Linked DNA regions of Yarrowia lipolytica. The protein of the gene in region 2 interacts with the protein of the main gene of each other region in a biochemical or structural test. Links are inferred from orthologs where the notes say so. Each region holds a gene or a part of one and is shown on either strand. Other genes may lie near its edges. The genes, in order: YALI1_B19336g and YALI1_C25576g.

Region 1 (3,405 bases), on a different chromosome or scaffold from region 2:
TTCGATTTAGCGGGGTCCCCTAGAGTTAACTTCCCCTGTTGTCTCAGCTTGGAAGGCATTCAAACTGCAATAAAAAAGAGTGTGGGGAGGGCGTAAAGTAACTCTGTGCTGAATGGGAGAAAAGCTGGCTGCTTGGGTGCGGGGGAGGGGAGTGTCTCTTCACACCGTTGGTTCAAGACACTGCGGGGTGGGTTTGGTTGAACACCAGCTTTTTGTTTTATGATGACCTAACAAAGAAACCTGTTAGTCAACGAGCTTAATGTCCGATTTTGTGGATTCATTCTTTTGTTGCATTGTTGTTGTGTAAATATCGCCAGATGATCATCCAGCTCTTTCGTATTTGTAGCGGCGATCACTAAAATCAACCCACCCCTGACCCAACAAATGCCGTGGAACAAGCCAATCGACGTGTTTTGGGTGTGGCAAGTGCACATATCCACATGTCGGGTCGATCGCTCGTATCCTGTGAAAAAAGCAAAAAAAGGTTTATGGAGTGCCTGTACGTACCAGGGTTATCGTAATTTCGACGCATTTGTCCAAAATCGCTCTTTATTGGCAAGTGGCTAGCATACCTGAAATCACACCAAGCAGCTGTTCGTTTTCGCATGCTGCAGCCACCCGCTCCTTGTCGTTAAGCTGCTTGTTGACCTGATTCTCACTCTGGTGGGTACCTTCCTTGACAGTGATAGTGAACCGGAACCGAGGAGGAAGAGCTCGCTCGAGTCGCACCCGGATTCCAAGTCCAATCAGGGTGGCCAGAGAACAGTGGGTAATGGTGGGGGTGATTTTGACCACAATCTCGGCCATCTTGTTCTTGTCTCCAGTGTCGTGAACCCAGATATCTTCCAGTTTGACAACAGCCAACTGACCGAGAGTCAGGGGATGCTCGGGATCGGAGATGGTGGCGATGAGGTCGTAAATCTCCTGAGAATCGATAGGTTCAGGCTCGTCATCGTCATCATCGTCGTCGGATCCGCTGGCGGACTCGTTCTGAATCAGAGACAGGGGTGTGGGATGTGTGTCTAGAAAGGCTCCAAGAGGCAGATCGAGCTGCGACTGGCCTTTGTTCCGTGTGGGCAGGGCTGACACGTCGATAACCTCGGGGTTGGCGTTAATGGGATCGGACATTATGGTAGTTGTCTCGTGTATTGCTTCTCACTTACAGCAATTATTCTCTCTGATGTGCAGTGGTGTTGGGAGTATTACTGTAGTTTCTGCATGCCTGACGAATAAGGTTTAAACACTGGGTAGTGTCTCTCAATCAGGGTAGGGGTTCATGTTTCTACCATTGTCTCTAGTCTTGTTTATGGTCCAGGGGTGAGGAGCGGTATAGTGGGGCAAGACTACAAGGCCAAAAGCGCCGAAAGACATTCCAGACGTTTTGAAACATCGTTAAAAGGGGCCAAAAAACCAATAGAGGATGTTGAGTGTGAACAGACCGTTACACCGGCGAGTTTTCAGGAACTTGCCGTCTGTTTGTGGCTCTCGGCTACAGCCAAAACTGTGAGCGTAGCTATGTGACCGCCAGCTTTGTTTTCTTTGTATGGCGCATGCGGGGCACAGTAAAAAAAGTGCAAGTGCAAGGTGAGGTAGCGGGCAGGTGAATCCGCGGGGTTCTGGGACAGTGTGGCAATGAAGTGGAACAATATGACGTAGTTTGGTTATTTTCGGCACTCACTGTTCCCCACGAGTACGACTTATCCTTCTTCTGCTGGTACTGTACTCGTACACACCAGTGCATGTTCGTCTACTTGTAGTTGTACTTGTAGCGTCGCACAAAATGTCTTGCTTGTACATACTGTGTTGTGCTTCTACGAGTACGACAATAGTCATTGACATCTCTTGTTGAAGGTGAGTACAGCATGTACAAGTAAGTCGCTACAATACTCGTACTAATGTCATTAGCAACTATTTAGTTAGTTGCCTTGAGAACCAGCCATCAAAGCATTAAAACTGGCTAATCAAATTAGGGGGCATAACTCCACGGCTGTTTTAGTCTGTCGTTTGTCTCAGTCAGTGTTGGTTCAACCAAGTACATACCGTACAAGATCATCTTGCTGTGTAACTATAGTATTACTGTACGTGCCCCAAGAAATATCATGGGTAAACATATACCTCTCCGACTGCACGCAAAGCCATGTAAACCTGGAACCTTTTTGATGGAACAAAAATTATTCCAGATTGCACTATCAGTTGAGCAGTTAGTTTCCCCTCATATCAGTTTGTTTCTCATTGCCAAAAGACCCCCCTTCGTCTCACATTGTTAAGCTGCATGTAAGCAGTAAGGCTTATCGCAGCTAGGTGCAGTAATCATCTTCGACACCATCACACCATGATCCGACGAAAAATAGCTGAGAAAAAACTGGCCAAGGAGGAGGATAAGCGCGAGGTCACTTTGGTGGCACTCAGTGGCCCCTCGTCCAGTGGAAAGAGTGTGAGTATGAATCGTTTGCACGAGGTGCAGTCCCCGTTACAGAACTGGCACTAACTTCAGACTCTAGCTCGTCTGCTTCGAGACATTCTTCCCCACGTCATCATCATCCACCAAGACGACTTTTACCTGGAGGACTCGCAGATCCCAGTTATTGATGGAGTTCAAGATTGGGATTGTCCCGAGGCTTTTGATTTCAAGCTACTGTCCAAGGTTTTGAGCCATGTCAAGCAGACTGGAGAGCTGCCCAAAAATTTCAAATCGAAGGAGGACCAGAACTCCCTGGGACCCGCTGCTCTTGATGAAAACGCTGTCGACGCCTTTAAGCGTCGAATGCACCCTTACATGCCTGAGTTTGAGAACAAGCTGATTGTCATTCTGGATGGTATCATGGTCTACCATGACGCTCAATTCACCGAGTTGTTCGATATCAAGATTCTGGTCAGATCCAGTTACGAAAACCTCAAGTCTCGACGAGAAGCTCGATCCGGATACGTCACTCTGGAAGGGTTTTGGAAGGATCCTGAGGGATACTTCCACAACATTGTTTGGCCCGGTTACCTAAAGACCCACAAACAGCTGTTTGAAAACGAAAATCCCAACGGAGAACCCAGTAAGGACGCCACCAGAGAAGGAATCCGAATCGTGCCCACCACCGATTTCGACGTGGCCGAGACTCTTGATTGGGTGTTTGATGTCATTCTGGACTATTACGATCTTGAGTAAAGACCATGCACATATTTATAATCGTGACTCTACTTAATTAATTGTACATACATTGTAATAAATCTATCAGTTTTTATATGTCATTAGTTTATTTCTTGCCCTTCTTGCTCTTCTTGGCAGACTTGAGAGCGTTCATCTCCTCTTTGTAGATGCTATCGACACTCTCGGCCTTTCGCTTCTTCTCTTTGCTGCTGTTGCGCACAGCAAGAGTTGTGCCAGCCTTGCCGGTAGCAGCCTTGGAAGCCCCC
Region 2 (3,449 bases):
TCGTTCAGCAGCTCGGGCACATTGAGAATACCCCATGAAGGCGTTCTCATAGGCCCTGCAGACGACGGTCCACTGGAATTGGCGCCGAGATTGCCGTACTTTTTCGCTTTGGCCATCTGGTCGGAAAATGACTCCGGCATGTCGATCTTAAGCCCCGTCGGTCTTTGGCTCATGCTGGTTGCTGTGTAGGAAGTTGTCGTGTTATATAGTCAAGTCTCGTTGTCGAGGTGATGATACATGTGTGTGGTTATGCACTATTGGTAACCTTAAAACGTGTATGACGTAGGAGATTTAGATTCGAAGGAGATTCAGATTCGAAGGAGATTGCAGACCGCGCAAAAAGAGTGATAAATGCACTGTACACTGAATAACCAAGCCATTTCATTACATGTCACGTGAATCTATGGAACAAAACGGACTATGTCCGTGTTTTGGCCGCACAACGGTTTCTGTTCTAGCCCGCCCTTAGTTTTTTTTTTTCTGCATATACATTCATTTAATTATAACTTTGCCGTGAAAGAATAACCTTTGAAATGAGGTGTTCTATTGTTGCGTGTTGAACTCGCACTAAAAAGTTAAAACCAGACTTGATTTGTAGGGAGTGCTTCCTTCGATATGCCGTGTTTAGACAAATTTGCAACCGGCTTTGAGAAAGTCAGAAAAAAAATCGGAGAAAACTAGAAAATGAACGAAAAAACAACAGAAATCATCTCCATGTAAATATATTCCGATCAAACCTCCCAGATATTCACAACTCCGTCATCGCCAGAAGTAACCAACTTGTCGTCCAACCAAACGACATCGTTCACTTCATAGACACCATGAGCGTTCTCGACCTCAGACTCAACCACCCACTGGCCAGGACCGTTCTCCTTGTAGACCACAAGCTTACCGTCGGCACCGGTGGAGGCGATTCGTCCGTTCTTGTTCCATGCAACAGAGTAGATGGCTCGAGTGTGTGCTTCAGGCAGAGTAGCCTGCTGAATCCACTCCTCAGAGAGAGGATCAGCCCGGAAAGCAGGTCGGATGCCGGAGTGGTCACCTGTACCTCCAACCTGTCCCTCCTTTTTCCACACAATGCATGTTTTGTCGTCCGAACAGCTGACTAGTCTGAGATCAGAACCCTCAGAGGGCTCAAAAGCACACCCCCAAACAGTGGACTCATGTCCTCCGAGGTCGGCAACACAGATCCAATCGTCGTCGTCCTCGCGCCATAGCCGCACGGTATCGTCGTAACTGGCACTGGCAAACACCATCTCTGAAGGGTGCCAGGCGACATGCTTCACGTCTTGAGTGTGGTCCTGCAGCACAGATATACACTCGAACTCGTCATTCATGTCGTCAGCCTCCCACACCCATATACTCTTGTCTCGGGAACATGTGGCGAGCAGCTGGCCGTCACATGACCAGCTGACTCCCTTGACCTCGTTTTCGTGGCCCTCAATAGCCGCCAAAAACTGCCACTCGTCGTCCTCTTTGCCCCAGATGCTGACTGTGGAGTCGAAGCTTCCGAGCGCCAGCGACGGGGACGAGCCGCTGGGCTTCCAGGCCACTGAGCGCACAGATCGGTTGTGGCCCTCGGTGATGGTCGTCACCAGCTCCCAGTTGTTTGTGTTGTAGATTCGCACAGTTTTGTCGCCCGAGCACGTGGCCAGAAGAGGCAGGTTGGGGTGGACGGACGCTGCCCACGCCCGGTCCGTGTGTCCTTTCAGTGCCTTGATCAGCTGCATTTGGTGGTGATGTCAAGATGATGGTAGTGAGTAATAGCCTGCAGGCTTGCACTAGAAAGTTAAACTGATGGCGTCGAGACCTGGCAGTGAGGACAGTCGAGACCGTCAAGAGCCTGAGATCGGAGGGTGTTTGAATATTGGTTCAACTGGATTTTCCGCGGTATATATTTTGAAACTATTTTCGTTTTCTCTTGCACTTCTTCGTCGCCTTTCGTAGGGAGTGGTGTATCATGTTCAGGGAAAAAAGTGAAATAAAGGCTGAACAACATTCTGTAAATGCGTCAAAAATCGGGGAAAAATATGAAAAAATGAAAAGAAGTCAACAAGAGCTTTATGAAATTACCGAATAAACACATAATTTCAACGACTTTGTCAAATATCTAGCCTCTAGAACTCCCGTTTTATCACCGTCGTCTAACTTCTGTCCTCTAAAGTTCACATTTGGTAAACTTAATCAACGCACGGTAGAAACGAAACTGCAGCATCTGAAAAACTCCACAGACTCCGCAACTCACACAAATGTTCCGCATAGGACTAATTGGACTCCGGGCCAGCCGGCCTGTGCTACTGAAGCCGATCCAAAGACCCCAGCTTCTGTTTCGGCCGGTGTCTCCCTTCACAACTGGACGACATCTGTTCCAGAAAGATGCTCACAACGACCACCCCAAGAAGGATGCTGAAAACAAGCCCGAAAACGACAAGGAGCAGTCCAACGAGATGGTAAAGAAAGACACCACGTTTGATCAGCTCCCCCACATCCCTGATCCCAAGGCCGAGGCTTTGGCGAAGAAAAACGGCTACGTCCCCGCCAAAGAGTGGGTCCGAGAGTCGTTTGAGATGCCTAAAACTGACGTGCGACGGCCCCATATGCTGAAATGGAAGGCCCTAGACGGCCATGGACCCAAACTGTTTGCCCTCGCGGTCATTCTGTGGATCATTTGGTGTGCTTACATGGTTACTGGACGAGGAGGTAACGAGGGAGGAGAGACTACTCTGGCAAACAACGCCTTTGTCAAGTACAAGATTGTCAAGAAGATGAAGATCAGCGACGACGTGGAGCTGATTGAATTTAAGGGACCGGAACGATCCATGCTCCAGCCCAAGTATGCAGAGTACTGGGATGGTCACAGAATGTTTTCTGTTCACATTAGACAGCCTGACGTGCAGGTTGTACGATCCTACACTCCTCTACCCGTTTACATGATGCAGGATGTTGATGGAAAGGATCCTTTGGTCAAGATCATCAGTTGGGATACCGACTACAATGGCTTTTGCATGATCATCAAGAAGTACGAGAACGGAGAAGTCGCAAAGTGGATCCAATCCCTGCCAATTGGCACCGATGTGGACATTCGAGGTCCATTTATTGATGCTGTCATTCCGGAAATTCCTGCTGACGTTAAGCCTCCCAGAGCTCCCATGGAGGATATGCCCAGTCGAATCCCGGCTGACTGGAAGTACCTGGACGTTCCCAAACCCGACAACCTGGTCTTCTTTGCTGGAGGAACCGGAATCGCCTCTGTTTTGCAGGCCCTTTTGTCTACCAATCCTCCTCGAGGCTGCGTCGACATTCACTACTCTGTGCGAACCCGTGATGAGGTCCCCTTTGAACGTCTTCTCTACTTTCTGCAAAAGCTCGGTCGAATCCGACTCTTCATGTACGTGGACAAGGAAAACAAGTTCATCTCGAGTAAGGACATTCCCCAACCTGCTCCTTTG

The links.
Region 1: the proteins of YALI1_C25576g (region 2) and YALI1_B19336g form a complex in vitro, tested with the Saccharomyces cerevisiae proteins (2 studies listed by BioGRID). The link is inferred for Yarrowia lipolytica from reciprocal best matches to the Saccharomyces cerevisiae genes CIA1 and CIA2.

The regions. Positions count from the first base shown.
Region 1 is NC_090771.1:1,932,523-1,935,927, forward strand, and holds YALI1_B19336g (uncharacterized protein), read right to left. Parts: upstream 1,129-3,405; coding exon 550-1,128; downstream 1-549. Other genes in the region: YALI1_B19326g (uncharacterized protein), read right to left, coding at 7-131, 233-434; YALI1_B19348g (uncharacterized protein), read left to right, coding at 2,333-2,434, 2,495-3,157; YALI1_B19388g (uncharacterized protein), read right to left, coding at 3,246-3,405. UniProt on the Saccharomyces cerevisiae protein: May play a role in chromosome segregation through establishment of sister chromatid cohesion.
Region 2 is NC_090772.1:2,555,924-2,559,372, forward strand, and holds YALI1_C25576g (uncharacterized protein), read right to left. Parts: upstream 1,731-3,449; coding exon 732-1,730; downstream 1-731. Other genes in the region: YALI1_C25560g (uncharacterized protein), read right to left, coding at 1-173; YALI1_C25581g (uncharacterized protein), read left to right, coding at 2,250-3,449. UniProt on the Saccharomyces cerevisiae protein: Essential component of the cytosolic iron-sulfur (Fe/S) protein assembly machinery. Required for the maturation of extramitochondrial Fe/S proteins.